Lonchura striata: one gene and its partner. Each later gene encodes a partner of the first gene's protein in a complex. Links are inferred from orthologs where the notes say so. Each region holds a gene or a part of one and is shown on either strand. Other genes may lie near its edges. The genes, in order: MYO3B and espin.

Region 1 (15,953 bases):
TCTGTGTGCATTTGTAATAGATAAATTCCATCCCTAATTCCCCAAAACTCATATGGCCTTTAACAGAAAAGAGGCTTATACTGTTAAAAGGCTGAACAACTTACAAACAGACAATTCTTGTTTCAATCCTTGTTTTTAAATTTCATAATTCATATTTTTCAGAAGTACTTTGTGTTCCTTAAAGCAGGGAGTGCAAAGAGTCATATCATTCAGCCCATAGTCTGGTAAAGCACAAACCTTTGTTCAACAGTGTGTTAAAACTTTTTAGAGCTTCATGAAACAGAAGGCAAAGGATTACGTCTGGATAGCAGTACGTAAAATTATGTAAGATACTTCAAAATGAGCTAAGCTACCTGTATATTATTTTTATCAATTTTTAAATCTATACTAGCCCATGTGTCTAAGCTTAAATGTCCCCAGTTAATGATTAATGACACATAGGTCAGTTCAGGGTTTTGCAGTGTGCAAGACTATAGCAAGACTGGAAAAAAGGAATTCCTCCTTCTCCCCGTATTCTGTATTTACATCATGGATGAGCACCCCAAAACATACAATATTTGACTGGAAAGTCATAGCATTCTTAGGACCCTCAGTTATTTGTAGATTTGCTGCAATTTTATAGAAACACTACAGAGAAGAAAATAATGATTATTAGAAATCCATTTTGTATACTCTAATAGTATATTACTTTTACTGAACAGAGGACAAGTTGTAAAGCAGAAACACAGCCATAACGGTGGCAAGAAAAGATCTCTTCCTACTATGGGGAAGTGGCAACAAAGTGCGTATTGCTATGAATGGAGACAAGCCAGACAGGCCCATTTGCCTACCTCAGGTGCCATCCAAAAGGGTGTTCCCACTGAGGTGTTTCTACGAAGCCGTGTGCTGGTAAGCTGGGCTGAAACACCTGCAACAAAACAGATCAAAGAAACTTGGCTTCAAATTCATTGTCATTTTGGTAACTTTATTTCAAGTATCTGGAAAACAAACCCCAAACCTGTGAGCACAGCTGAAGAGTGCCTGGCCAAAGTAGGTGCAAATTATTTGTTTGATTGATTTCAGCTTGCTGTTTTCTTCAGAGTTTCTCAGAGATTTTTTTTTTTTTTTTGGTGAATGACTCGCAGTTTGAAGCACTTTTATTCAAACTCAAAAATTCCATTGTCACATAAATATCCCAGATTTCTTTCTGCTGTTTTTGTAAGTATAAATAGGAATGACTAAAATTACAACTTGACTTTAAATTTCTGTTTCAGAAATGTACTGCTGGAACATCACAGGCCAGGAATTCGCTCACTAGCATACTTGCAGATGCCCCTGTTCAACAAAACACACACCTGCTTATATCCCTAATGAGAAAAGCTCAGAAGCTCAAGCTCACACTGCAGCTTGTACTTAGGGAATTAAACACATACTTAAAACAAAACATTAGCTTCAGAGCTTTGCTGACTGGCGTTGGACTACTGAGGCACAACTGAAAAAAAAAACCCAAAAGAATGAACTAGAGTGCAATCAAACAATGTTAACAAATCACAATGAACTTTGACAGCAAATCTTCTGTGCTCTGGTCAACATATAATTGAATAAGTTCAGTTCAGTAGCCTTCCAATGAGGTGACACAAAGCCAATATTGACTTAGAAATATATTTTGCTTTAATATTTTTTAAACACAAAAGCCACAGTGGTTTGCTCTTTTGGCATTACCCAGACACAAAAATGAGCAGAAATACGTATAATGCACATTTACTGCTGCCAATAAATAAAAAAAATTATTTATTGGCAGCAGAGATTCATAAGTTAAAATAGTTTGATTTCTGATTCCAACATTCAATTTTATATTTGTTTTAAATTTTTCAGTGTAATTGCAAGCCTTCAGTGATTTTGCGAGTCATGCTGGGAAACAGTTAATGGCTAGGACATACAAGAAGTCTCTGTTCGTTTCACTGTGATCTCTCTTCAGCCACCCTAATTCACAGCTGCTATCTAGGGATATTCCAAAACAGTACAGAACACTGAAGAGCTGAGAGAGGGTGGGCATGAGCATAAATGAATAAGTTGCCGACATTTTAGGTCAATTTACTGTGGCCATCATTTATTCAAATATATTATGCTGTTGACAGCAGTTGAGGGAAGAAATCTGTGTTATGTTGAAAAAACAAGCTGTAAAGTCATCCAGTAAAGAAAAGCCTCAATTAAAGGTATCTGTGTAACCCTCTCTGTGACCTAATATCCATATGTACAACCTTGAATATGAAATAGCTTTTTTAAAATCAAGATTCTGCCTCATTCTCTCGACTGAATGGATAACATTCACCGAATAGGTCACAATTTAATATTTTTAACCCCACTGATTTGAATTCTCATTTCTTATTTAGTATATCCAATCCTATACGAAATTCAAAATTATTTTCTTTTTCTTTTGACATATTTCCTTCCCCACACACCAAGAAACAAATCTACTTTACATTCCCACAAAATGGCAGAGGATTATTAGTTCCAGGGATTAACCTAAAAATATCCAAAGCATCCAGTGTGTTTGGGTACTTAATCTGAGATCTTTCAGTTGTCAGGCACTCCATAAGCCTCAAGTACAGCTACAATGGATCTCAGCTGCCGTTCAAGAGCACACAGTTCTGCAAAGCAGGACAAGATGTTTCAGACTGGCTATAGGGAAAATGAGGAACTGAGTTTGATGTAAGTGACCCTCCAGCATCACAGATAAACACAAGCAGAAGCAAGAATAATCTCCAATTTTATGTCATTCAACTCCCTCAACTGGAGTCCCTTCTCTTCCTGAATTCCTTGCAATTTCACTATCTGCCTTCTATTTTCTGCAAAAAAAAAAGGAGACAAAACAGTTCTACAAACAATATCACCTGTGACTCAGTCCCAAATCATTCCCAGAGACCATTCTGTGGCTATAGCAGTGGACTTAGGTAAAATAGCAACTTAATAAAAGCTTGGTGCCTGATACTTCTTTAGACAGAAAGCCCATAGATATATGGGTATTTTTTGGCATTTCCTGACTGTTAAGCAGCAGGGAACACTTAAGATTTAAGTCTCTTTTTTTTTCCTGAGCCTGTCATATTTGTTGTGATTTTCTAGTGCTACTGTTACAAAGTAACAAAAGTTACAAAGTAAGTAAAACCCCTGAAACCTAAATATGGAATCAGAGAGACCCAAGGGACACCAGAAAGATTGAAGTCTCAGTTTCCTTGAATGTGTCACTTGGGGTTGGAGCACACTGGTCTGTCTTAGAGGCCTTTAATACATCTGATAAAAACATTACGCTTTGGGGAGAAAAGCCAACTTTTCCCCTAATGGAGTAAAAACACAGATCAGACTGCCAAAACTCCCCCAAATGAGAAGGGATCTTCCTCTCTTCTATTAGGTCAGCGACTCACTCCAAGTTTTGTTTCAGGTGTATTTTAATTGCTGCCTTTACAATTCAAAATAATGAAATTTTGTCCCTAGAAGATACTAAGGAATCTCTTATGCAACAACTTACTTTAGCATCTTCAATACATATGTGTATTAAATTTATAATACCATAATATCACCAATATACAATTTTCTTTCCACTGCATACATGTAATAATTTAAGGTTTTTAAAAAATATTTGCAGATTTTTTTTACGTATTCTACCTACTCTCATTTTGTGAACATTTTTATTTACCTTCATGCACTACTAAACAAACATATCATTCATACACTATTTTCAGATGATTACCTTACACATTATATGGTTTCATTAATAAATCATATTACTAATGATCTGTTTCTGTTACTTTTAATAAATTGTCCACTGCCTTGCATACGTATATGAGGGACAAAAGCATTTTTTTTCTACTGCATGTTCAAAGGAATAAAATTTGAACTGACTTTAAACCTATTGCCAAGTGCCATTCTACTATCCTCCCTCTCTTTCTCTCTCTTGTTTCTTATGACATATCCAGACTGGCAATGCCCAAGTCTAAGAGCAATAATCACAAATTAAATGGATGTTGAGTTTTGGACCCAAGGGACTATTTTACCTTCTGCTCAGAGAGGAAAAAATATGCTTAAGGCTATCAAAAGCCATCTCAGAAAGAATGTTTCCTTTTCATATGCAAAAGACAGAATATCTGAATTTAAATTAGGAGGACAACTGCCCTGAAACTGACATTTCTTCTGAAATGCAAAAGAGCTTTGTAAATAAAATGCTAGGTTGAGAATTTTAATAATTATTGAATTAAGTTTAAGCTTTTGAAAATTAAAACTCTACTACTGATTTCAAGTTAGAATTTTTATTCTTGCTGTAATCAGATTCCTTTTGCATTTTTCCTTCTTAAAATAAGTCTGAGTATGCTTCTGAAAAAGTCTCACCGTGGCATTCTGCCTTCCCAGGGGAAAGTAAACAGAGCCTTTGGCTAAACTGCATATCAAGAAAACAAAGGGGAAGTGGTCATTACCAAAATCAACGAGCTTGACTCCACCTTCTGTTGTCAGGAGAATGTTGTTCCCTTTCACATCACGATGAATGATCCGGTTATTGTGTAAATGCTGAAGGCCCTATATACCAGCAGTAACAAAACAAAAATAAGTTTATTCCCTTATTTAAAAACAATTACCCTGCTATTAGTGAATGTAATGAGGAAAATCTGCAAACTCTACAGAAACAGCTGTCCACCAGATTATATACCTTTATACAACCCCTGCTGTTATAACAGACCATCTAATATTGTTCACATTACCTCACTCTATAAATGGAAAATGAGTGTATGCAATAAGTGAATTGCACCCTCTGCTGTCATTCCAAGCCTAATGAACATCCTTACCAAGAGAGCACCATACAAGATGTATGAGATGATAGCTTCATCCAATCTTCGGCCACACTTCAGCAGGCCTTTGACAAGCTCTGTGACAGAACCTCCATTGCACAGCTGGAAAGGGGGAGTTGTGCAGAGGGAAAAAAAGCAAGACAAGTTCTCAGTTACTCAATATACTTGTTTGGGCTATAAACACCTACCATGCAAAACTGTGCTACAACACATGTCTGGAACAACAGACCTCATTTTATTGGCAATGCTAATATAAATCACAGCAGCCTGAGTAAAGGGAGAGAAGAGAAAACTGAAAATTATAAAATGTAACAAAAAAGATAAAAATAATATGAACAGGACTGCATTTCAGTGTTAAAAGAGGATTCATAAATCCAATTTACATTATTTGAGTATTTTCACAATACACGCATTGTCTTTTTGAAAAAAAAATCCTTCTATGCATAGCCCAGACAGAAAAGATTGATGCTCTTGATAACTGGGAAGCAACAAATTAGTCATTTTAAACTTTCACTTCATCAGTGCTCCTGATGGCATGCAATATAAAATAGACAGAAGCCATATCTCTATACTCAGATTTGATGCCATATACTGTCAACAGCAGAAAAACATTCTAATCCAGAGAAGCAGCTTCTTGCAACCATTTGCATCTTGAAAGATTTGCATCTTTCAAATGGCTTTTATGAAAAACTGTGTATCAATTCAACCACTGATTTCTGTTATATGCCAATACTTGCCTTATTACTAACTTCTCCTTGCATCAAAAAAAATTGCACTAGACTAGAAATTTGAGTTAATGGAAAAGGACCTTGAAGCAAAATTTAATCATTTAAAGCATTGATAAGTTCTGTAGGAATTTGACTTTATTTTTTAATTTGTTAGCAGGGAATATTTTTCTTATCTTTCATAAATTTGTAGGAGCATTCAGGTCAATATCAATTATCAAATGTATTTACATGGAACTACAAGTTTTTCTTCCCATGGTTAACCATTTGCTGACAAGACTAAGCTAAAGTTTTCTTTGTATTGCTTTCATAGCATGAAATGTTCTGTTTGGACAGACTATACTAAATCTATCTCTAGCCCACAGATAAAATATTTTAAAGTATGCCTTAAGTCAAAAAAAAAAAAACCCAAGCTGGTTGCAACTGAAAAATAATACAGACTGACAGCTGTTTGGTAGGATATGGTAAATGAATGCCTGACTCAAAAATATATCCCACAAACACTACTGCAGCTCTCTGTGATGCTATTCTTGAAACTCAGCAAAGACCTCGAACAAAATGAATTTGGAATCTTCATTACCACCTTTTACCCAATGGTAATACTTTAATAGTTGGAGAGATGTACATTTATACGAAAAAGTTGAGAAGTTTGCTTTACAGTTTTCCAAGACTTGCATGATCATAAAAATACTTAAGGCGTTCACTTTTGCCACCCTTCCTCATCACAAGCATTTATCAAAGTAAGGTCCTGTTTGTAGTGAGTAAACATGGCAAAACTATGCCTAAAGGGAAAAAAAAGCCCACCTTTTTATTACAAATTTTGGAAGTCACACATCAAATACATGTATTTCATCAAAGACTCAGGGATGAAAGTCTGAATACTTTGTATATTCCCTTTTACTGAAAATGAGTAATTAATTTATAATATCACAAGTTACTGCTATGCATGCATAAATCTATAAATTGCTGTAAATTCCAAGGCAAGGAATACTTTGGGTTGTCCAATAAATTTTTCCATATATTGAAATTTTTAATTGTATCAAATTTCTTCCAAACTTTGGATTATGTGCACCAAAAGCCATTTGAAATGCACATACTTAATTGATAAAGTACATACACATACATCTTTGCTGCATCCCTGCCCCAGACCACTGTCCCAGATATCCTCAGCCCCGGCTAGCTCTCCTGTGGGGTTTTGGAGAGTGTTTAGTGGGTTCTGGGGTCACTGCTGATTCCAACGGTGAATAGACGAGGAGAGGCACTTGTTGGGGCAAAAAAACTCCGCTGTTTACTGAGATCCTGCGGACCCAACAGCAAGCAAAGGAGGCCAGCCAACAAGAACAACTGAGAGCTGCTGGCAACATGTTATATAGGGAGAGGGAGGGGAACCGATCAGCCAGTGGGGAAACACAAAGAGTGTCTCTTGTGGGGATTGACATGTGTGGGATCCAGTGAGGGATGGACAGGGGCGGGGCCCAGGCCCTCATCCAATCACTCGGATGGAAGCTTCCAGAGGTAGGGAAGGGACACCGAGTGACGGACAAGGCACCTGGAGGGGACGGGACACCGAGTGACGGACAAGGCACCTGGAGGGGACAGGGGAATGACTCAACATGGTCTGGGATGACTGACACACGAGGGAAGGCGGGAAACTCAGGGAGAAACCAATACAGTATGGGAGTACACTGGAACAAACCATGACAGAATGAAAACGTAATAAAACATATAAAAACGCAATTCCACACATCTTATTCAAATTCTACATTCAGTTTTATTTCAGAGTATATGATGACTTTGTTCCATAAAATTCTCTCATTTGGCACTTAATGAATCTTTAAAGACAAGACTCTATTAAAAAAGCACAGAGGAAACCAAGCCCAAACTCAACACAAAGACAGCATGCATACAAAAAAACCAACACCAAATCAAAAATACTAAGGTCACTTTTCAGCAGTTACTGAACTTTGAGAGGAAATACATTTAAAAGTTATCATTCAAGCTACATACTGCTCCAGTACATCTAAGTTAGATGTTCTCTTGGGATTCCAGAACTTGTAGTGGAAATAAAGACTCCCTATTCTGATTCTAGTCATCATTCAAGAATGGGGAGTTCAATTTTTAAAACAATCAATAATTAAAAAGTTAATCCTAGCTTTTACCATTCTAGTTATGAAAGAAATGAATGCTTGAATGATTTGTTACTGCTCATCAGAGCAGTAACTGCCTGTGCAGAGTTCTGCATCAATTAAGCCTAGAAAGAAATCCTCATTTTACAACCACCTTTGGCAGTCACTTAACTTTGGTGGAAACAAGACCACCAAAATACATTTGACATTGTAAGAGTACTGATTGGCACTGAACAAGAAAAGTGAATAGAAGGCATTTCTGTTGCTAGGTTTCCAACAACAAGCAGCCTCTAGTTTAAAATTACTATAAAGCAGACTTTCCCATTACACTTTCTCCGTTCACTTTTGCAGTAAGCAGCTTATTTGTTAACTGCCCTCCATGCCACTACTTCATTATCTTTTGCCTTCCCCTCAAATGCTTGAGTTCTCCAAAAAGTTTAAATAAATGTCTTATCTAATGTTTCCTCTAACAAGAAAAAAAAATTAAAAAGAGCTGCTTATTTCGGAGGCAGAATGTAGCAATTCAAACAGAAATTAAATGCAAGATCATTTCCTATCAAACAAATTTTGAAGTTTGGATGTGATTTTCAACAGCAGGCTACAACATATCATCTATCAGAAAATCATGAAAGCCTGTGACTTTTTTAGCAATAACAAACAAATATCCAACCACATATGCTAAGGTAAGATGTAATATTGTCAAAATGTTTTTACCTCAAGTACTAGCCAGAGCTGTCCTCCCACATATTGATCTGCTTTGTAAAACATCCCATAAAATCTAACAACGTTAGGATGATTGGGAAGAAACTGCAAAATATTATATTCAGCTTCAATTTCTTCATCTACATCCTAAGTAAAAAACACAAACATACAGAACATATAAAGACAGTGACTCTAAATAAAGCAAGAACAAACTCTCACAGATAAAAAGAACTAATTTTTTCTTTGTTTGTACTTTTAAATAGTTTTATTTTAATGCAGCTGAAAGCACAATATACTGGACATTTAATGCATATAGAATTGTCCCACTTGTGCTCTTCTTACACACAGAAAAGCGAAACCTGTGTAAATCACACAGTTGTTCTTCAAGAATTCTTTCAGTACACAATATACATAACAAGAAAATTAAAAATTATACTTAACTCTGCTCTGTTGTCTAAGTGAGAAATTTAACCTGTTTTATCTGTTTTAAATCATGCATGTTTTTAACATGTGAGCTAATGTAAACACATGAACCTTTGACTTATTCCTTTTTCTATGGTCACCAGATAGGACTAAACAGAGAACCATTTCACTAAGTCTCAAAGGGGCCATCAATAAAACCAAATACATTCTTGTGACCAAATATATACATCAGAAAGAATGAAAGACAAAACAATCACCTGTGAAAATAAGAAAAGGTTACTAGGTATTTGTTAATGAAAGAATTCTGTGACAATTACAGAATAATGTTTATACCAGCACACAGACCACAACTCAGAACAGTGCTTAAGTGCTCAAACTTTCCTCATTTCTGCACAGACTTGGCTATTAGAAAATTTAAGCCTGTGCCTTCTTCAGATCCATCCATACAAGAGAAAACCATTATTAATTTCAGTAGTCATTGATGACAAAAAAATAACATTTTTTAGTAAATATTTTAGCCCAGCTGTCATAATCAAATTCCAGCTTGATCCAGCCTGAACCAGTAAAATTTTCCATTGAAAACTAGGGCCTTGGTTCTCATGGGAAGCTAGGCATTTAATATCCACTAAAACCAGAGCTGGCACGGAACTACCTCTGAGGATCTGGGATGCGCGCTTCTCTTTTTATCTTAATTATTGCCTCACATTTTTATCTGCTTATAAAAAGTAACTCTAAAATATCCTAAAATTCACAGTGTTTATATGATGGGAAAAGTAATTATTTAGGGAGTACACAGAATAAAAAAAGAACGTTACGTTTAACAGCATCTTGTATTTTCCCTGCTACAGCAGGGCCTATGAGGAATGCCTCTGTGCCTTCTCATAATTTGCATGCTCCAAGCAAAGATAACTGAATTTGTAGCAGAAGAATTACATAGACCTAAAACAGAAACTAGGCAAACACTGTCCTCAAATAAGATGATGAAATTCTAAGTTGTCATTCAGTTGCTGGTACTTAACCCCTTCTCTAAATGCATTCTGTAAAATTGCTTCCTTCTGGATGTTCTCAATATCTTACACATTTGATTTACATTTCAACTCCAAGAATTCTTTTAAATTAGCATTGAAGTTACAGTTTAAGATTTTTTTTACTTACACTGACAGGATCCAGAATCTTTACTGCTGCCAAGCTTCCATCTTTCTTATTAGCAACCTTATAGACTTTACCATAAGTGCCTTTCCCAATAGTCTCTATAATTTCCCAGGTATCTGAGGGATCAGCTAATGATTCTAGTCCAATCATACTGGAATTATATTGAAACAATCCATACAATGGCTTCCTGGAAAATAAAGCAGATACGCATACAGTGGGAAGCCCTAAGTAACTTGGTACTAAAGAAGGCATTTTATGATAAAGAAATCAAATATTGTCCTAATTAAAGAAGAAATACAGATGGACTCACAAAAGAAAACCAGACAGGAATGTAAGATCACTCGATGGAAAGAAAACACTGGAGACTGCTTCTCTTTCCTTACTTTAGTGTATTATTTGCTTCAAACATTGTCCGATACACAGCACCATTCCAAACACATTTTAACAAGTTCTGACAAAACCTACCCCTCCCTCTACTGCACACTCTTTTAACAGACATTTTACACAAATAAATTAACACAGCTCATAAGTGTGGTCTTATTTCTGGTTTTAAAAACATGTATCAGGGTTTTCCCATAAATTTGTGTAATCCTCCCTGCAGATTGCCAGACAGGCATTCATTAGGTATAGCCTCATTATATCTGATACATATACAACAGGCCTACATACAGCTAACAAAAGTTAAGACTGGGCTGGTTGGCATCAAAATACAAGCCAACTTGAAAATGAGCAACAGGTACATCACTGGGGTGGGTGATCTATCACTGTTGGGTTGTTTCTCAACAACTGCACTTGGCTCTCTCTCTGCATGCCAGCCAAAGTGTGTTATGGTCTGTCACACTGGCTGAACACCTCCCGAAGATCTTCATGTGAGGGGACTTGCTTCCCCAGACACTCCTGAATGGATCCTGCAGCAAACAGACCATTGCAGCCTATGCACAGGGTTCCTTTTCACTCTGAAATTACATACATGGTAAATTCTGGTGATTAGGAAAATGACAATACCATTTTAGGATTTCATTTTTTGCTCATTTGGTGGCTCTCAGTAGGTATATTAGCTATCTGTATGCTTAACCAGGAGATGTAAAGTCCAAATGTGTGATCACAGGAGTGTGATTGTTACAAAGGCAATTGAAGACAACACCATCATTTGACTGCAAAAGTTCCCAATTTTTGGAGATGGATCAACAAGTACCTCAAACATACATTTACACTTTAAGGTTTGAGCCATTTCTTTTTAAGCACACCTGACAGTTGCAGATATAATAATTTTAAAAACTTGCTGTCTTACCTCTTTACCATTTCTAACATCAGTGATAACCAGAGAAAACCTTTATTTCCCTCCTTGGTAAACCTGTATTTGCACCAAAGCTGGTACCAAATAATGTATGAAATTGCTTTGGTCTCTTCACCAAAAGAAGGAAAAAAAAAAAAAAAAAAGATGGGAATGAGTTAAAAAAAAAAAAAGTCAGAGTCAATATAATTTATGTGCTACAATAATGTAAGTTATTAGGACACTTCTTCAATACTTGATCCAATCCAGCATGCTGCAAATAAAGAACAGTATGCTGAACACATAAACTTAGTACATCAACAGAGAAGGAGGTGAGGTGAAAGACTTCTGTGAAATCAATGAACAAAGTGTACTACATGCACTGAAACAGCAGCTACAGATATGGAACTCCTGATAAGCCAACCTCAAGAACAAGGTTTGCAGGGTGGGTGTGGTGGAGAATACAAACATGGGAACAGTTGCACCTCACAACAAAAAACAACACAACAACGTATTGAACATGTGGTTTTAATGGTTTAAGTAAAATGCTAGAGATACTCATGGGTAAAGAAAGAGAGGAGAATAGTCTGGAAATAGCTTTGATACAACCTTACAAGGAAAACGACAGATTGACATTAAGTTCTCTGTCACTATAACAACTACCCTATCACACAGATTTGCCAGAAAATTATGCATAGCACTCTTTGTACCAACACAATATTATGATGTGTCCTTCCTAAGCAACTGTTGTGGATAAATACATTTTTTTTCTTAAAAAAAAAAAATCCGATGCCATTGCCTGCTCTTGTACTGAAAATTATAACCCTTAAAATGGTATATCCAAACATTTAATTTACGAACATTTCACTTCAAACATTGCATTTACATTTACATTTCTTTGTACCAGAAGACAATGTTGGCAAAATAAAATGTAATGAAAAATTTTTACAGATGGAGTCATGACGGATGACTGGGAAAAAAAAAAACTTTTGTGAGCATTTCTGTGCATTGTGATAACATGGCAACATTTACAGATGGCATATTTATACATTACATGGAATCAGAGATGTGAAATTTGTACCATAAACCTCTTCTGTTTAAACCAAAACAAACTCCTCTTGAAGTCAAGTAATGCCTATCGAAATAAGGTTCTACACCTGTCATCAGTGAAAGTACCTTTTGCATCTATGACATCATTACATTCCTACAACATAAGTCATTATTTTACAGTTCAAAATAGCAAAAGAACAGTATCTGCTATATCTTCAATAATGTAAAATCTGGACTTAAAAAACCTGAAACCACCACAAAATGTAAATATTATGGGGAATGGCTGAAGTTGTGAACTAAGTTTGTGTCTTTCTTTTTCTATTTCCTGATTTGTTAAGCTTCAGAAATTAAAACATCCTTGTTTTAACAAAGGCTTTTAATTTATACAGTGAAAAGTTATGTATGAACCCAACCACTTCTGCAACAACCACACATTCAGAAGATCTTAACACTAAAATACTGCAGCTGAATTTTACTTAGGAAGAAACTTCTCCTTTTACTCCCCTCATGTAAGGCCTCACACATCTCTGGGCCTTGAAATGATGCACAGAGAGTGGCTTCTAGCTGTAAAAACTTAGCAGAGCTCTCCCCAGAAGAAGCCTCAACATATTAGAGACCTACCAATTATAAATATTTCTGCCATCAGTTGGAGAAAACTTCTTAGTGGTTAAATTTGTTTCTTGTAGGCAAGCAAAACAGACAACACCAGATGCTGAAAAATTACACTTTGGCAATTAACTCTACTGGCTAGGGAACACATTACAGAAAGCTATTTGGGACTGCACATATTTATGCAATTAGAGGCATGACTACATGCCATCATCATACCCCTAGCACTCTACCCTGTTTTGTGTACTTGGGAAAAGACAGAATGAAAGCACAAGGCCAACTGATGGTGTCTAATCAAGCTGCTCTGAGGCTGGAATAGGGACAAAGAGCATGATAGTTTCCTCTAAGAGATAGTAACTTAAATCTTGAAAAAGCTGACCAACCAAGACAAATAATACGATAAGACAAATATTTATTCAGAGGCTTCAGCCACTGACACAGTTTCTTTCCTTTATCCACAAAAAGAAATATTCCCCATCAAAGTAAATTTCATTATTCTCTCATAATACCTGACTTCTTCTATTTTGTAAACTTTTACTGTCAGGACAAATTAAATCCGAGGGATGATAGACTAACTTAAATGGCAGTCAGACAAATGTGCAAGCAATATTTTTATACTTTGAAAGAAAATATGTCTCTCAAAATCATCATTAGAATCAATGACTGCATATTATCATCCCTTAACAGTATCCCCAGGATAAACAGACTACATGTATTATGTATGTCATATAAGATATCATAAAAGAAGTATAGGTTACAGACAGTGCACAAATCACTTTTCCATCTGTGAACCACAGCCTTTTGACTGTTTTCCATGGCTCTAAACAGTCTCACAAAAGCCATGTGGAAAAATACCTGGTGTCCCAGAAGTTCTACTGTGATACTCACCTAGGTTGTGAAAACAAAACAAAAAAATCCAAACTCATATAGAACATGCAGATATTGCTAATGAAATAATTACAAATGGAATAAAATCAGCAGCTTTTCCTCACAAATTTATTATCTCTCTTCCTCAATTATTATCTATCAATTTTTATCTCTCTTCCCTAATTTATTAGCTCTCTTCCTCAAAAATTATTGGAAGAAAAGGGACTCATAAGCCAGAGAAACAGATTTACAATTATTGTTCTATTTTCACTACCACCTCACTCAACTCCTACACAACAGTGATTCCCTTCTGCATTCCAAAATGCACCCTCTTCTACCTTACAGCAAGATGCATTGTCTGTAGAGATTTTAGAATTAGAGTCTCACTTCAGCCTGGTGCTTTCTAACAATACCCATTACTAACCAGTTTTGAGTTCTCTTATAGCTGGTAGGGACATGATAGCAATACCAGCCCATACCAATGAAAGTAGTGAAAATACTGCTTCCATACAAATAATCCATTAACAAAGCTCCTTTCTGCAATGCTCCATTTGTCTTAGCCCTCTTGTCTGTCTTGTGAAACAGCTGGCTTATGCACTTCTGGCATTTACAAACACTGTGGAAGAGTAAGAATGAAGTATTCAAAAGTAAGGTAGTTCACTATTTGTAGAGAACTCCATATTGGTTCCACACTAAATTTAACTCTTTGGTAGAAGAATTCAGAAGGTAAAATTGACGTTATCAGCTATGGCCTCACCTAGCCATGACAAACCCTATTCTGCTGGCTAGTAGTGGTCACAGACAGCTACCTCAGAAGCAACAGAAGCAATTGTTAGAGGAATTAATGAACCAATAAAAGGCACAAGAAAATCAATAGTCAGAACAGCATCCTCTGCTACTCTCCTCCGCTATTTCTCACTGGCCAGGTTAAAACAAAGAGAATGTCAATATCTTGAAATGAAGCATACCAAAAAAATCTATCAAGACACCATCCTGTAACTGTTCTCAGTTGGACCCAGAGAGAGAGAGACTGCAGAACTGCAGAATGTGCTGTGGATAGTTTTTTTGAGATAAAAGTTAGCGATGGAAGAAGATGAAGGAGAAGGATAAAAGCATGTTCAAAAGCTATTATTGATGCTATAACACTTACAAACAAAAAAAGAGCCATACTTTAGCTGATCACATATTTTCACTAGGCAAACATAAGGGACAAAACAAGACAACCAGAACAGAACTGGTTGTTTATTTATAGATGAAAGGTAGATCCCTGAGAACACGCTAAATAAATTCAGTTCACAGAACAAGTCTTACTTGAATATACAAGCCATGAAATTAACTCTGGGTGTTCAAATTGGAAACAGAAAGAACATTAAGTGGGAAACATGTTCTCTCTTTCCACATAGTCGTCTAACCTAAAGTTTTTATTATTTGTGCTTACGTACACTCTCTTTGTCTCCATGAAGTTCTTTAAATTCAGGAGTATCTTCATTATTTTCTTTTATTTTGGTTCCTTTATATGGATGGACTAGATACTCTAGGCTTTTAGACTTACATTATTAGCCACAGGGCCAGAGCTGAGTGATAACCAGTGGCAATGGATTGTGTCTGGATGCCAGCTCTGATGAAAGCATTGTGATTATTTGCTCTCTTGTCTTGTCTATGTTTCCAGTTCATCACAGTATGAATCACAACTACATTCCCAGTATCAACCATAATAACCTGACTACAAAACCAGCTACTGACCATCATGGCACAGAAATCTAAATGTCACCTAGTTCTCTAGAAATAATGAGAGCAAAGAACACTCTAGTCAAATGGTAAAAATTTCACACCACTACTCCTAAATCAGTACTGAATTAAAGGTACTTCTAAGATCATAACCTTAACTCAAATTTTTGGATCAAAGATTGGAAACTAAACCAGAAAACTCTCAATTAATATCCTGGAAAATGTATAGTAGGAAAGAGGTATGTTCCTAGTTCAGGCAATCCACTACATGTTTTCATGTAGATTCATTGCATAATAATGCATTGCACTATAAATGTTTGTAAGTAAACTCTTGTTGGACCCTTATATTTATGAGAACATTAACCTTTGTCCAATAATGTTTGATCATTTTTGTATTGTCCATATAAATCAAACTACTCAGGGCAAGGGGTGAATACATTATCCTGATCAGCCAGTTGGATAAGCAAACAGATCCAGGCTG
Region 2 (15,953 bases), on another chromosome or scaffold:
GGGGGCTGCCCCCGCTTGCGCTTAGTGACCCTGGGGGGAGGTGCAGGGGGTGCCCCTGGCCCCTCGTAGTTGGCCTTGAGGCTACGGACAGAGACACCGCAGCCCAGGATCTCGCGCCGGGCGTCGTGCTGGGCACCGGGGCTGCCCGCTGCTCCCCCCGCCCCGGGGCCCTCCCGGCCCCTCAGGGCGGCTGGCGGTGCGGCCGCGCTCCTCGGCAGTGTGGGGGACTGGCTGCCGCGGGCAGGCGCATCCTCGTGGGCGAGGGCGAAGCGCTGGGGTGCCGGGGGGGCAGAGAGCGGCACGAGTGGCAGCAGCTCCTCCGGCCCCCCTGGAAGCGGCTGCCCCAGCTGCGCCTCGTGCATCACCCGCAGGCTCCCCAGCTGCCTCTCCAGGTGCTGCATGTCCTCCTCCCGCATCGGCTGCCCGGCGGGTCCCGATAAGCCCCCGCGGGCAGGTGACCCGCGCCGGCAAAGGGGCGGCGAGCGGTTCCCAGGCTGCGGCGGGAAAGAGGGCAAAGGGGCTCAGGGCCATGCCGCACGCACCTCGTGCCACTGCCGCCGTGTGTGGCATCCCCGGGGTATGACTCCCCTGCATGCAGGTAGGGTGGTCCCCAGCCCAATTAGGAGCCAGAGGCAATGCCACGCACGCCGTCTCGCCGGGTCCTGAGCTGCTTGGGCCATGCCCGCGCTGCACTCGCCACCGCAGCGCGTGGGACCCCCCTACCTTGCGCCGCTGCTCCTCTTCCTCCTGCATGCGGAGCTGCAGCTTGCGAACCATCACCTGCCGCTTCCACTCGGGGATGGGCCGACCGTGCTCGTCCTGGCTGGGCACCAGCGCCTCCACCTCCACCGCTGCCCCAGCGCCTGCTGCTGGCACCGGTGAGCTTCCGTTCAGCACTGGCTCTGGTGAGCCCCCTGCCAGGCAGCGTGGTGGCCCAGCAGCCTCGGGGGTGGCCGGCGGGGTGGGCGTCCTGGTGGGTGACGGGGAGGACACTGGCGACTCTGCCTGTGGAAGGAGGGAGGGAGGGCAGTGGGCACTTGCCGTGCTGTGCTGTGTCGCGCCACCGGCTCCCCTGGCCCCCATCACCACCTACGTTGGCCCCTGCCTGGCCACTGCCGGAGAAGACAGTGGTGAAGCCTTTGCTTTGTGGCGTTGGCTTGAGGCTCTTCCCAGCTTTGATCTCGGCCAGCAGCTCCGAGTTGTCACCGGTGGGGGACATCATGTTGAAGGACTTGGTGCCTGAAGGGAGGCAGAAGGGCAGTAAGCACCCTGCCAGCACAATCTCCCTGCCCCTGTGAATTCCCCAGCAGCTTGCAGGGTAGGGGAGTGGAGGAGTGGCTGGCTGACTGCCCCCCTCCGTGCCTGCCAGGAGCCCCTGGAACACCCCTGAAGCAGCATCCAGACACCCGGCTCACCAGTCCACAGGAACAGCACATCACCGAACTCCTGGGTCCATCAGACCCCAGAGGAGTCACCCCCCAGAACTCAATAGCCTGGCACCCCAGCTCCACAGATCTCTAAGACCAGCACTCCAACAGCAGCTTACAGGGTCCACAGCACTCTGCTGCAGCAGCACCCCAGCACCCCGGCATTCAGCTGCAAGGGTCCCAGACTGGCCCCAGCCCCAACGCCACTCCATGCCCCCGAGGCACTATGTTGCAACAGAAGTGTGCCTCTGGAGGGATGGCTCCGTGGCCGGTGGCATCCCTGTCGCTGCAGGATGGCCCTTACATTCCCGACAGCTGTCGGCAGCGATGCACCGACAGCCTGAGCCAGACTCCCTGCCAGCCCGGTGCCCAAAGGGCTGCGTGGCACCGGCACCCCGGGGATGCTCTTCCCACTGCTCACGCCACCCGCCTCGCGAGCACCCACCGTCCGTGCCAGCCATGCGTGAGTCCCTAACGGCCCATGGTCCCGCGCCAAGGCAAAGCCCCCTGCCCGCGGCCGGCGCCCGCAGCTCGCTCCGCTCGGCTGCGCCACGCCGCAGCCAGAGGGCTGCGGGTGCTGAGGGCCCAGCGGGACGTGCGCGCTGCCATCCAGCGCCGGCTGAGACCCCCCGGTCCCGGGAGCCGGCGCTAATAAAGCGGGCGCCGAGCGGCGGCCAAGCCCGCCGGCCGCGGTCAGCGGCGGGGGAGCGGCCGGTGCGCTCACGTGGCGGGGTCACGCCGGCCGGCTGAGCGCGAACAAAGGGCCTCTGTGTGCGGGGCCGGGGGCCGCGGGGCCCGCTGCCCGCCCAGCCCCGCCAGCCCTGCCTCCGCCTCCGGCAGCCCCGCACCGGCGCTGGGCTCCCCGCGTGCCACCGCCGGCCGGCGACGCGCAGCGAGGGCGCCGCGGGCAGCGGACAGCCCCAGCGGCCGTCGGTGCCCCGTGGCTGCGGCACCCGCGCCAGGGCACCCCCTGAGCAGGGAGGAGCGTGGGGCCGCGGTACTTACTCTTCATCTGCCTGAGCGCCTTTCCTCCTAGGGAGAGAAGCAGAGAGGCGGCGCGGGGCGCGCGGCAGAGGAAGGATTTGGCCACCGCGAGACAAGAGAGAAGAGAAGCGGCCAGCAGTGAGAGCAGGCAGGGGCGAGCGGGCGTGGGGGCCCCCGCGCCGACACCGGAGGAGAGAAGGACAGAGAGGCTGTCAGGAGCCGCGCGGCCCGAGTGCCGCGGGAGGAGACGAGCCAAGGAGGTCAAAGCCACAGTGCAGCCAAGAGACAGTGCCCAGGATCACTCCCCGTGCCCACCCGGCACCCTGCCACTTACTTCCCGTAGACGAGGAGGAGCGGCGGGGGCCAGCGGGAGTCTCGGCGAGTGGGGGCGGCGGTGGGGGTGTCGGGCAGGAGGTGTCGGGCAGTGGTGGGGGCGGGGGTGGAGGCGGCAGCTCGGCACCAGACTTGCTCTCCCCATTGCTCATGGTGTCCGCCGAGATGGGTGATGCCTGAAAGGGAGCATGGGCAGGCGTTGCTCGGTGCCGGTGCCACCGAGCCGTGCACAGGCTCGCGGCGCGGGGCTCACCTCCTCGGTGTGCGCCATTCGCTGGGGGCCTGCCTGCTCGGCCACAACGTGCCCCAGGTGCTTGTAGTAGTCACCGGTGCTCGGCTGCTTGCCGAAATTCCTTGACCGCCTGCTGGAGTCGGCCCGGCGCAGGCCCTCGGGACTGCTGTCACGCGATGCCAGCTGCAATGGGGAGCCCACCTCAGCACTGCCGTGCCCGGCTATGACCGTGGTGCGGGGCTGTAGTGGAGTAGGACCGTGCCAGCGGTTTGCCCTGGGGCAGATGGAGAGCTGGGACGGACAACAGGTGCATGCCCTGGGGTCTGTTCGGCAAACGGCTCTGCCAGGGGCTGTGTGCCATGTTGGCAGCATGCAGCATCAGTGCCTGGCACTGTGACCCCATAGCCTGTGCCCAGGATCCTGTCCAAGCCTCCCCCGGGATAACCCCCTGGGAACAGGAGTGCCGAGCCCCAGCCCCGCGGATTACAGGAAGCTTATCCCGCGCGGGGCTGGGGCCCGGTTCCAAACCTCCCTCTGGACAGGGCGCTCAAGCAGCGCAGCCTCAGCTCACCCCGGCACATTCCACAGCGGCTTTGCGAGTTGTGCAGCCGAGTGCTGTGCTGCAGGGGGCTGTGCCTACTCCCTGGGTTTGGGCTGCCACCGTGGCATAGCCCTGCTCCCCTTGTTGGGGGCCCCTCTATTTGCATTTCCCCGTATGCCACCTCCACCCATGGCATTTTCATGGTGAGCTGGTGAGCCCGAGTGCTCACTGCCACCGCCAGCAGCTCCAGCTAAGTCAACAAACGTCAGCTTGGTGCTTCCTACTCCAGCTGCCATGGGAGTTGTGCCAAGCCTGGCTCCCACTCTAGCAGTCCCAGCTCTGGTTGGGCACAAGGGTCTGTGCTGCTGAGTCCCATTTCATAGGGCACCCGCACCACTGTGGCACCACTCTACCACACACCCACACCTCCCCAAGGCAGTCCATTACTCCAGTAAGCACTAAAGAGCCAAGGCTGTGCACAGCAAGCACTGTGAGGTCCTGAGCCCATCACATGCCTGGCACACACTGCCCTGCTGAGACACCCATCCCATGTGCCCTGTCCCCCAGAGCATTGAGCTCTGCCAGTGTCCTGACCATGCCCAGAATCCTGTCCCCAGTGAGGTGGTGCAAGTCATGGTAGGGGGTCAGGGTGGCCCCAAACCTACTGCATCTTTATGCCCCCCCAACCCGCCATGGAGGGCTGCACCCCTCTTACCTGTGCACGCCTGGCTGAGCCCTCTCAGCTCCTGGCAGCGCTGGTTGTGCCACCCGACACCTGTGGCGCGGGCGACACCGGAGCCGGCCGCTCGGGTTACTGCCTGCGCAGCTGCCCACGCCCAGCTCGGCATGGTGCCTGTGGTATGGCCGGGCCGCATGGGCGCGGCTGCCATGGCATGATGCTGCCAGGTGCCCCAGCCGGTGCAGCTGTGCAATGGGCCCACCCAGTGCCGTGGAGCTACCAGAGCATCACTGGCCTCAGATTGCTGCATCCTTGCTGCTGGTTGAGCCCTATCCCCCCCCAGTGCATGCCAGTGCCGCAGGCATGTGGCCTTCAGCTGGGACTGTCCCCTCCCAGTGCAGGCAACAACTGTTCAAATGGGGATGGGTGCCTGGTGGCGAGTCCCTCCCGAGTGGTATGTCCCTTGAGCTGTGTATGGGGCGTGGTGCAGGGGACATGGTGCATGGGGCCGTACCTCTCGGCGCAGCGCCTGGCTCTCCACATGCCGCAGGTTGTTCTTGGCCCGCACGTAGATGTCAGCGGTGTGGGGGGCAGCGGGGGGCGCAGGTGCAGGGTAGCCAGGGGGTGGCGGGGGTGGCCGGGTGGTTGGGGGTGGGGGTGGTGGTGGGGGGAAGGCAGGGGGTGGTGGCGGCGAGGGACCCTCGCCTGCTGGGCCCCGGCCCCGTGGCCGCATCTCGGGGTCCAGCATGTCCATGTACGCCTGCATGTCCGCCAACGCCGGCTCAGGCACCCCTGCGCAGGGCAGGGGGTCAGGGGGGGCTGGACCCGCACCCCCCGCCCCACGCCCCCTGGCCCCGCACTCACGGGCGGCGGGGGCCCCTGGGAGGCCACCCCTCTTCTCCCCGGTGCTGGACTGGCTGGAGTGGCAGGAGTCGTAGTTGGAGAGGGTGCTGGCAGGGGAGCCCACCTCGAAGCGCGCCTGGGGCACCGACGCCGTGGTGTTGGGCGATGACATGCCCGAGTCAGGCTGTCGGCATTCCCCATCCGCCGAGGGGTCTCGTGACAGCACGCGGTGCTCCACGCTCTGCTGGCACAGCCGTGGGGTCAGGCAGCAGGACAGGGGTGGTGAAGCTCTGTGTGTTCCCTGTGTGCTCCCCATGCCCTCATCCCTGGGCACCGCCGTACCATGTTCTCCACGGTGCGCAGGTACTGGGCGCAGTGGCTGTGGCCATTGTAGTCGGCGAGGTCAGCTGCTGTGTAGCCATCCTGGTCACGGATGCTGAGGTCGGCACCGTTCACCACCAGGATCTGGCAGCACTGGGGAGAGTGGGGGTGCATGGCAGGGCTGGAAGGAAGGGCCCCCTCTTGACCTGACACCCTGTTGGCCACCAGCACCCACCTCCAGCTCGCCATTCTCAGCAGCATCATGCAGTGGTGTGCCACCCCAGCCATCGGCAGTGATCTCCCCGCCATGCAGCAGCAGCCAGCTCAGCACCTTGGCATGGCCACGGCTGGCGGCGAAGTGCATGGCCGTGGCCCCCTCGGCGTCCCGCTCCGACAGGCTCACCGTCGTGAAGCTCATCTGTGTGGGCAGGCGGGCTGAGCACTGGGGCTCTGTGCCCTGTGCTGTGCCACCATGCTGTGCCACCACGCCGTGCCGTGTCTGGACAGCGCTTACCAGCCATACGATGACAGTGTTGTGGCCCATCTGGGCGGCGGCGTGCAGTGGGGTCATGCCGTCATAAGCACACGCGTGGGGGTCAGCCCCACAATCCTGCACCAGGTACTGGATGATCTCCAGGTGGCCTTCCTGGCAGGCGAGGTACAGCGGGGTAGCCCCCGTCTTGGTCTGGGCACTCAGCGTACTGCAAGTGGGGCACAGCGCCTGTCACATGTGGCCACTGCTACTGCCAGGGCTGGGATAGGGGGCAGGCAGGATACAGGGACATGGGGGTTTGTGAGACACAAGGAACGTGGGCAGGTACAGGGGAAACAGCTACGGGCAGGCAGGGCAGTGCCAGGGCTGGGAGCTGTCCACCCCATGGCTTCCCATAGGTCCCCGTGCTGCTGCAGTGGCTGCAGCTGCAGCGGGAGGTCACTAAGTTAATCAGCCTGCTTAGGCTAAGCTTCTTCCTCTGGCTGTTTTTGGACACTGCAATTTAGTCGTATTTTAAAGTAAGCTGCTTACACAGCACCAGCCGTGGAGCCAGCAGGGAAAGGCCAACTTGCACCATGGCAGTGCCTGGCACAGCTGCTGGGTGCTGGTGTCCCCTCACTGCTCCAAAAGGCCTTGGCATCCTTGTGTCTCTTGTCCTGAACTGTGTATCTCAAACTGTGCAGCCCAAATCCTGAATCCCACATCTTTTACCCCACATCCCCCATAGACCCATATTCTGCATCCCACATCCCGCATCCTGCCTCCCGACCCCACAGGAAGCTGTTTTATTAAGTGCTCCATAAAAAAACCCTGTTGAATATTTAAAAAAGGAAGAGCAATAAATACTCTGCTCTCTTATCGCAACGATCGCAGGCCCTAAATAATTGATCCCTGTAACTGTGAGACGGGCTGTGGCCAGCACTCCCTTCCCTCTGTGCCTTGTGTGCCGTGCCACTGAGTGCCTGCCCCGCGGTCCAGGAGTGCCAGGTGGGCACAGCCCTGCGTGCTCCCCAAGCAGGGGCTGGGGAGCTGGAGACAGCGGGAGCACAGGCACTGGGTCAGTCCCTGATTCCCATTTCTCAGTAATTGGGAAGGGGTTAAGCCACTTGGGCACCACCAGTAAACTGCTTTGCCAGATGGCTGAGACCCCATGCTGGGCCACCGGCTGCCGGGGGGGCCCCGCGGGCCGATGCGAAGGTGGGCTGGGAGAGCCAGCATCCCGCAGCGGCACCAGGGATTGGATTTCCCCGCTGTAACGGAGCCTCCGGGCAGGCGCGGGGCTGGGAGCAGGGCCAGCCCTAAATAATTCAGGGGGAAGGCGGTGACAGCAGCGGAACAACCCCGGCAAGCAGCGTGAAAGGCAATGCGAAGCCGTGCCACACCTGGGCTGACACAGTGGGCATCGAGCAGGAGCAGTGACTGGTTTGGGGCTGGGTTTAGGCTGCAGGGGTTAATCCCAGAAGTGCTCAGGGCTAAGCTGGCACACCTGGGGCAAGGAGATAAAGAACTGGGGCTGGGACAGCTCTGGCCAGTAAGTGCCATGGGATCCAGGGATCTCTGTGGCCCTGCCTGGAGAAAAAGATGCAGGGCTCGAGTGTTGTGGCACCCAGAGACAGAGGGATGCTGAGTGTTGGTTCACATCCCGCTGCCTCAGGACTCCCTGGATGTGGGAGAGCTGTGCAATCCGTCTCATCCACAACCCTGGAGCCTTCCAGGGACAATGTGGAGCAACAGCGCATCCCCCCGGCTCCGCTTTGGCCGGGTCTGTGGGTTATTTCTAGTTATTTCTAGTGGCCTCTGCCCACCACAGGAAATCGGATTAGCGGCCACCTAATCACCTGCTGCAGCCTCGTGGCGAGGCCCGGCATCGCGGGCCCTGTGGACTGCTATGCCACGTAACCCAGGGACCAGCCCGGCTCCGGGTACCGCTCGGGAGGAAAAGCGGGGATGCTGCCGCCGCGGAGCCGTCTGAGAGAGGCTGCCATGTCCAGCAATGCCCACGGACCTGGGCAAGCGGAAAGGTCGTCTCCGGCGCGGGGAGCAGCCTCTCCTCGGCGGTCAGCCTAATCCATTTACATAACAGAGGGCGGACAAAGGCGGCTGTGTTATCGCCCCGCGCCAGGAGCCGACTCAGCGGCCAGTGACAATATTTCTGCCAGCGCTCGCCCCTCTCCTCCTCTCCCTTTCTTTCTGGGCCATAAAGAAGGTATAGCTGGCCGCCCAGCCTGATAACGTGGCAGCGTTGCCCTTGGAGCTAGGGGATCAGGGTGGCTGCAGCATTCGTCCCCAGTGCTGGCACTTTGCCCAGTGGCTGGAGGGAAGGTTGGGGCCACAGCAGGCACCCTGTTCTCCTACTAGTCCCTCTCCTGCTGGTGGGTGCCAAGCTTCCGGCAGACCCTGTCTCGCTGCCAGCAGCTGGGACCGTTACCTGGGGCAGTGTCCCAAAAGGAGTCGCAGGGAAGGGAAATCCCCTTTCACCGCGGCGTAGTGGACGGGCAGTGCTCCCGTGTTGGTGGCTGCCGTGGGGTCGCTGCCTCCAAAGCGGAGGAGCCAGTCGATCACCTCATGGTGACCGAAGCGGGCTGCCAGGTGTAGGATGGTGGCACCAGAGTTGTCTGTGTCCTGCAAGAGGAAGTGGGACGGCCGTCAGTACTAGGGACCAAGCCCTTCCGGCAAGGGGGCTGGGGACAGCAGGCAGCCGTGGGGCATTCCCCAGCCCGGAGCTGATTCCAGGCGGGTGGGGCGGCCAGGGTGGAGTTCCTGTCCGTACGGAGCGGGGCTGGAGCAGGAGCACAGGGCATTGGAGCGACCGTGGGACCAACGTGTCTGCCCTCCGTCAAGGGCCTGCGTCCGCACACAGTGAGTGCAGCACAATGCCCTCCTTGTTCTACCGGCCGCCGAGCCCCTAACTGCGGGAACTTGCCGCCGAGCCCCTAACTGCGGGAACTTGCCGCCGAGCCCCGCTGTGCCGCCGGCCCGTCCACCCTCCACGCTCGGTGGGGCGCGGGTAGCGCTGGCCCCTGGCCAGGAGGTCGCCGATGCGCGCTGACCCCTTCCTTCCCGATTAATCTCCGCTCCCAGCCCCGCCGCCGCCTCCTCTTCCTTCGGCCGTCACATGTCTTTAACTCCGGGCCGGCCCCGGGGCAAGCCGCTTACCGCCGCGGTCCCGCCGTTGTGTAACCCCCGGAGGGCGCGGCAGCCCCGGGGAATATGTGCTGCCCTCGCAGCCGAACCCCTGCGGGATGCCGGGGACTCTCCGGGTCCGTCGGATGCCGGCCGCTATGCACGGCGGAGCCCTGCCCGTGCCGGCTAGGACGGACCCCGGCTCGCCGTCGGCAGAGCTGGAAGCACCACGCGTGACCGTCTCCCCGCGGCCACAGCCACCCACACGGGACCGCGGAACGCCTCCCCGGCCGCCCGCGCCACCGAGGGACCCTCCGCCGCCCCCCGCGACCCCGCTCGCACCTGCACGCCGCAGCCCCCCTGCGTGAGCAGCCACTGGAGACAGGCGAGGTTGCCGGTGGCGGCGGCGTCGTGGGCCGGCGTGGCCCCGTTTCGCGCCCGCGCGTCCCCGCGGAGCGCGGCCTCGGCCGCCAGGTACCGGAGGCAGGCGAGGCGACCGGCGCGGGCAGCGTGGTGCGCGGGGGACGCGCCCAGGGCGTCCCGCAGCCCCGGCCGCAGTAGCCCGGCCGCCCGCAGCCCCCGCAGCGCCTCCACGTCGCCCTGTCGCGCCGCCTGCAGCGCCCGCTCCAGCGCCATCCCGGCGGCGGCCCCGGCCCCAGCGGCCCCGGCGGCGGCCCCGGCGGCCCCGGCCGCCGCTTGGCACTGTGCGGCGCTCCCGCCCCGCCGCCCCCCGGCCCCGCCGGCTCCTCCTCTCCCTCCCCCGGGGCCGCCCCTCCGCCCGCCCCGCCCGACGGCGCGGCGATTGACCGCTGCTCGGGACCCCCGCACCGCTGCCCCCGGCCTCCGCTGGTGCAGCCGCGCTTTGCCGAATGGCGGACGGGACCAGGACCGGGACAGGTGCAAGTCCGGGTTGACCCCAAGGCGGACCGTTCGCGGCTGCCGGCGCCGCTGTCCGCGGCCTTGTGTAGCGGCCCCACGGGTGTCCCCTCCCGCCGCCCGCCCAGGCAAGAGGTGCGGCAGAGATGGGCTCCTCCGGCACCCTCGACGTGCGCTGCCGGCCCTAGCAGCGCAGGCAGAACGGGGGGCGCTGGGCGGGCGGCTGCCCCGCCTCAGCCGGCCGCGGGGTGCCGACAACCGGTCACGGTCCGCTTTGGTATCCACCTGGTCTTGCACCGGTCCTTGTCCCGGCCGCCACTCAGAAAAGTAGTTTTATGAATCGCTGGCTGGGCAGCGGGCGGCGTGGGAGGACACGGGTGGGGAGACCCTCCGTCAGGACCGCGGACAGCGGAGGTGCTTCTCGATCAGCACCGAGGACAAGGCAAGGCCGCCCTGCCCGCCTCCTTCGCTGCCTGTCCCCCGCCCTCCCTGCCCGGCTCTCCCGCCCTGCTCCGCCGAGCTGTGCAAAGTGAGAGCTCCAGCATTTCCGGCCCGCCGCGCCCACGGGCGGCTCCGTCCGCCCGCAGGCTCTCCGGTCCCTCCCGGAGACGCGCTGCCGCGCTCGCACTACCGAGAACCGAGAGATCGCGGTCGGCGAGGCCGTGAGTGCCGCGGCTCCCGGCACTCCGCGTCCCCCGGGCGGGATCCTGAACGCCCTCCGGACCCTGCGTGCGCTCCACTGCGAGCTGTCACTGCCTGCCTGGGACTGCCGCCACCACCCGACCCAAAACCCCGGGGCGCCCACGGGAACTGTTACAACCGGAGAGAGCCGACGGCGCCGGGAACGCGGGTGGTGGGGGGCGGTGCTGCCCCTGCCGACCCGAAGCCCCTGGCTCCGCACGAGTCCCGGAGCTGACAGGGCACTCCTGGGCGCGGCGGGGAGACCCCAGTCCCGGTGGGGACACACGACTCCGCGGGCAGCCCCGGAGCCGCCCGGCGCCCCGGCTGCCCGCGGTGCCGGCGCTCCTCCCCGCGCGCTGTCCGCCAATGGCGCGGCCAGCGGGGCGTGCCCGGGGCGCGGCGGGGCGCGGCCAAGCGCGGCGGTGCCGCAGCGCCGCTGCGGGCGGGGCACCGGTGCCGCCATGTCGGAGCCGGGGGCCGCGGGCCCTAGCCCGGCCGCCATCCAGGTGTCCAGGTACGGCCCCGCCGCGGCCGAGGGCTCGGACAGGGCTGGGTAGGGAGGCGGGCGTGCTGGGGGCCGCGGGCGGGTGCCGGTCTGCAACCGAGATACTGCCCGCCCTGCTGCCGACATCGGCGGCACCGCCCGGTTTAGTCATGCTGTCAGTGACACCGGCCGCGGGCAGAGCGCAGCAGCGCCGCGCCCGTGCTCCGTGCTGCGGGGGCTGGGAGCGAGCAGGGCTGCCGTGTTCTCCCGGGCGCGGTTCTCCCGCCGGTGTCCCCACGGCTCCCGGGCACCGCCGCCCTGAAACAGCAGCTCCTGTCCGGGCCAGCGTTCAGCCGCTGCCTCAGTGCCCCCCGGGCCGTTATTCGCCGTTGGCAGAAAGCGCGGCTGCTGCCAGGAAGCCGCGTGGAGCACCGGCACGTGGCCGGCTCGGTCTGTGCCGCACCGGGGCCCGGCGGGGTGCGGCCCTGGTGAGACGCCGGCTGCCCTGGCAGAGGCGTCCTGCTTCCTTCCGCTCCCAGCAGTTAATTTGGAGGTGTTTCCTTCGCCGCTCACAGGAAACCGCATGCGAGCAGCGATGGCCCGGCAGCTCAGCCGGTGGGCGATATGCTGCCTCCGAGCAGCCACACCGGGGCTGGGCTGGGGGCGCGTCAGGGGTTGTGAGCTCTCATCTGCCTCCTTCGGTAGGATTATGCGCCCAGACGATGCCAACATCGCGGGGAATGTCCACGGGGGAACCATCCTGAAGATGATCGAGGAGGCAGGAGCCATCATCAGCACCCGTCACTGCAATTCCCAGGCCGGGGTGAGTAGGTGCCGGTGTGCCTGCCAGCCTCTGGCATGGTGACCTTTCACTCTCTGCTGTGTCTCAGGGCAGCAGGATTCTTACACTGGACATGTTTGCTCTTGAATGGAAACCACTGGCGTCTCTGGAGCTGGGGCAGGGTCCCAGTAGCTAGAAGCATTCTGCTGAAATTGTGGTTTACCAGCAGAACCATTATTACTCATTATTGCTGTTAATGATTTAACTCCCGAGAAAGGCAAGTTGGGGCAACCCTGGTGTTGGTTACAGATGGGGAAGGAAGCGCGGCCAGTGGCTGATAAGGTGGCGGTTGCAGTATCCGAGCCACACATGCCTGGCATGTTTGGCTGGTCTCAGGGAGCTGCCAGCTGTGGTCCCGCGTGGTGTGGCTGTGATCACTGTGTTGGCTGTCTCACCATCCCCAGGAGCCCTGTGTGGCTGCACTGGCACGGGTGGAGCGGACGGACTTCCTCTCGCCCATGTGCATCGGCGAGGTGGCCAACGTCAGTGCTGAGATCACCTACACCTCCCGGCACTCTGTGGAGGTTCAGGTCAACGTCATGTCTGAAAACATTTTAACAGGTGGGTGGCTGCTGGTGGCTGTGTCCCAGAACACCAGGAGTAACAGTGTTAAGCCAAGAGCTTGCAGCAGTGACCCCATCCTCTGTTCCATCACTGGCAGGATGTGGCAGAGAGGAGATCTAGTGTGTTTATTGACAGAGCTGGGAGTGGAGGGAGGGCTGGTGCTGGGGAGGCAGGCCAAGCAGGCTCCCTGGGATTTATGGCTCCATTGTAGTGAAAAACAGCAAAATCTGTTTGTAGCTCTTCCTGCCTGATTTGCTGCCTGTGGCTGCCTTTGGCCTGAAAAAGTCCCTTTTGCTGCTGTTGCTGTGACAACCAGTTCTGCTTGCTGGGACACCTTCCCAAAAGCGCATTGTCACATCCGCTAAGAGCTAAAACCTGGTAGGAGCCAGCAGGGCAAGGGGCCACAATGCCAGTGGCATTGCCAGTGTGTGCCCAACCCCAGACCGGTGGCAGGTGCAGCGCTGCTGGCCTTGGCACCATCACCTGTTGCCCCTTCTCCTCTCAGGGGCAAAGAAGGTGACGAATAAGGCGACACTGTGGTATGTGCCGCTGTCCCTGAAGAACGTGAATAAGGTCCTTGAGGTTCCCCCCATCCAGGTAGGACAGCTCACTTGGGTCCCCCTGAACTGGAGTTCGTCCTCCCTGTGGAATGACACTAACCTGGCCCTGCTGGCACTCCCAGCTGTGCCAGTGGCTTTGCCAATCCCCTTCTTACTAGCCTTCTATTCCAGTATGCGAGAAAGGAGCAGGAGGATGAGGGGAAGAAGCGTTATGAGGAGCAAAAGCTGGATCGTCTGGAAACGAAGCAGAGAAATGGTGATGTGATTTTACCTGTCATCAACCCAGGTAACACAGGCAGTGTGGAGCCAGTGCAAATTTCCCAGCAGTACTGGGAGACCAAACTGGTCTCCAGGGCAACTCTGGCCATCCCCAGGGCCCTGTAGCTGCAAGTGTGCATTCTGAAACACCACACCAGGGATGGGGATGGGATTTTGGAGTAGCAGTGTGTGAGTGGAGGGGGAGCTGAGTGGATACCTGTGGTACCCTGAATGTGGATACCCATGGATGAGATCCCCTCTCCAAAACCCTGTTCCTATATCACTCCTTGTGTGCTTGTGTGCAGCTAGAGCTGATTTTGCTCAGCAAGGCATAAATGCAAGTGCTGGGCAAGGGTGGCCTCTAGGCCTAGCTGTGGTCTTCCGGCAGAAGTGGAGAGGTGGCACATGAGGGATGTTGGGGGAGGTGATGGGGAATGAAAATTGCTCAAACGCTTTTTTCTTCTCTGTCCTCCCTGCTCACAGACAGGCAGACAAAAGGTAAGGTTCAGTGGGCACTGCTCCATGGGTGGTCACCCTGCGTGGGACTGGGCTGCTTTTCCTTTCTCTAAGCTTCTTTAACATCTCTCATTAGATAGAAAACACAGCCACTTCTGAGAGAGGATTTCCTCTGCTGAGAGTTTGAGGGTGTGACTTCTGTCACCTGGAGGTTGTGGTGGGACAGGGGTCACCAGGATGTGCCAGGGCTGGGGGCATGGGGGTGAAGGTCTTCTCACCAAGGGGAAAACAGGGGCTCTCTGCAGCAGGGTCTGGGTGGTTCAGCTGAGGGCAGAAGCAGACAGCCGTGTAACCCAGTTCACTCCTGTTTGCTTTCATGCTCTTTGAAAGCTTGAAAAGAAAGAAAAAAGCTGAGCTAGAATAAAGTGGATGGGTGGAGATTAGAGGGAGGCAGCAGCCCGTCAGGTGGTGAACAGTCTATGCTCTTAGAACTTCTCCAGCCTGATTTAACCACTGCTTTCAACATAGTTCAGCTTTGCACAAGCCAGCCCCATGTCTTCTTCCTTTGGACAACTTAAGACAGTGGTGTATGGTGTATGAGTGCCAGCTGAGTAGCTCTCACCTTGCTTTGCTCTCTAACCAGAGCCACACACTGTTGGCTACAGCCAGTCCAGCCTGATCCATCTGGTGGGCCCGTCAGACTGCACGCTGCTGGGCTTTGTGCATGGAGGTGAGTGAGCACTGCCCTGCACAGCACCTGGTTGCAGGTTTGCATGGCTTTTCCCTGGAGCAAAGTGTGGTGACTCTGTTTTTGGTGGGCTCTGCCTGTGGAGGCACACAGGCCCCTTTGCATTGACTGCCAGGGTCAGAGTTGCTTTAGCTGAGACAAAAGCTTCGTCTTTTTCTGTGCCCTAAAAACTCATGTACTGAAACTGTAAATCCTACAGTTTTGTCATTGCCTCTGAGATTGCAAATCCTGTAGTACAAACACGCAGCGTGTGACTGCAATTACCTGAAGTAACTTTCTCTTAGCTGGCACGTGTAGTGTAAGCCCTGGGAGAGGTGTGTTTGCTGAGGGTTGGGACAACACACACCTAAGCCTTAAACAAAACAAATATTGCTCAGAGCAGTTTCAAGGTTGGTGGGACTGATCTCACCTTACAAAGGTGAGGTTTGCTCAGAGAAATTTGGGAGAGACAGAGCTGACCTTAATCACATGTCTGTGAGCAGGTTGCCCTGGTATTGACAGGAGCCATTGTACTGGATTTTCCTGAAGTTGGGACTTGTCTCTGGTCCAGCTCCCCTGCATAGCTTTGGCCATGCTAAGGCCTTACTGACCTTGGTGTGGTTTTCCTGAAATCCCACTGACTTCCTTGAGACAGGACCCTCTTGCTTCCCCTCACAGGTGTCACTATGAAGCTCATGGATGAAGTTGCTGGGATTGTGGCTGCCCGCCACTGCAAAACCAACATTGTCACTGCCTCGGTGGATGCCATCAACTTCCATGAGAAGATCAAAAAAGGTACCAAGGGTAGTGGCAGTCACTGTGATCTCCTCTGTTGCCACACCCTGGCTCCCTTGGATGTGCTTTCAGGACATGCTGGCAGAGAAAATTAGTCCATGTTTGATTAGTCCCTGCTCCGCTTAAGACACAGCTTAAGCATAAAACATGCAGGGCCCCTTGCTCCCTTCACTGGCTCCTCTCTGTTTCACAGGCTGCGTCATCACTGTCTCAGGACGTATGACATTCACAAGCAATAAATCCATGGAAATAGAGGTCTTTGTGGATGCTGACCCCTTTGTGGATGAGCCTCGGGAGCGGTACCGTGCCGTCAGCGCCTTCTTCACCTATGTGTCCCTGAGCAAGGAGGGGAAGCCCCTGCCTGTCCCACAGCTGCTGGTAAGAGCTTTTCTCTCTCAATTGGACCCAGCAGGGCCATCACCTCTTCTGCTCCTCCTGGGGCAGAGCCCAGCCCAAGAATCCTCTTCCCTTGAGTTACTCAGCAGAAAAATATGAGCATGAATGAGACTTCTAGGACAGGCTTCAGGGGGTTTTTGCTTGTTTTGTTTTTGTTTTGGGGTGTTTTGTTTTTGTTTTGATTTGACATTGTTTTGTTTTGAAATTGGTATGTTTGGTTTTGTTTTGGTTTTGGTTTGATGTTTTTGTTGTTCTGATTTGTCATGTTTTTGTTTTAGTTTGAAATTGATTGTTTTTGTTTTGTTTTGATGTTGTTTTTGTTTTTATTTATGTTGCTTT

The links.
Region 2: the proteins of MYO3B (region 1) and espin are in contact, whole or in part, in a crystal structure (PDB 5ET1), measured with the Mus musculus proteins. The link is inferred for Lonchura striata from reciprocal best matches to the Homo sapiens genes MYO3B and ESPN. Residues at the interface, in XP_017174528.1 of Mus musculus: Arg1223, Arg1224, Gln1226, Gln1227, Pro1228, Lys1229, Met1230, Leu1231, Ser1232, Ser1233, Asp1236, Thr1237, Met1238, Tyr1239, Tyr1240, Asn1241, Gln1242, Leu1243; in NP_997570.1 of Mus musculus: Leu35, Ala37, His41, Arg45, Ala67, Asn69, Ala71, His75, Asp76, Ala79, Thr80, Asp101, Ser103, Leu110, Arg113, Phe114, Thr135, Thr137, Ala139, His143, Tyr144, Ala147, Thr169, Asn171, Tyr177, Leu178, Gln181, Ala203, Asp205, Met207.

Annotation. Positions count from the first base shown.
Region 1 is NC_134610.1:19,880,070-19,896,022, reverse strand, and holds the start of MYO3B (myosin-IIIb), read right to left. Parts: upstream 10,128-15,953; 5' UTR 10,096-10,127; coding exon 9,949-10,095; intron 8,518-9,948; coding exon 8,383-8,517; intron 4,920-8,382; coding exon 4,815-4,919; intron 4,549-4,814; coding exon 4,449-4,548; intron 908-4,448; coding exon 831-907; intron 1-830.
Region 2 is NC_134626.1:4,188,778-4,204,730, reverse strand, and holds the start of espin, read right to left. Parts: upstream 9,613-15,953; coding exon 9,319-9,612; intron 8,476-9,318; coding exon 8,282-8,475; intron 6,062-8,281; coding exon 5,875-6,061; intron 5,779-5,874; coding exon 5,596-5,778; intron 5,514-5,595; coding exon 5,382-5,513; intron 5,281-5,381; coding exon 5,106-5,280; intron 5,016-5,105; coding exon 4,711-5,015; intron 3,160-4,710; coding exon 2,998-3,159; intron 2,921-2,997; coding exon 2,746-2,920; intron 2,460-2,745; coding exon 2,433-2,459; intron 1,240-2,432; coding exon 1,094-1,239; intron 1,006-1,093; coding exon 724-1,005; intron 681-723; coding exon of another isoform or gene 647-680; intron 521-646; coding exon of another isoform or gene 1-520. Other genes in the region: espin-like protein, read right to left, coding at 1-520, 647-680; ACOT7 (cytosolic acyl coenzyme A thioester hydrolase), read left to right, coding at 11,601-11,840, 12,263-12,419, 12,928-13,019, 13,154-13,268, 14,340-14,426, 15,102-15,218, 15,412-15,596. UniProt on the Homo sapiens protein: Multifunctional actin-bundling protein. Plays a major role in regulating the organization, dimension, dynamics and signaling capacities of the actin filament-rich microvilli in the mechanosensory and chemosensory cells.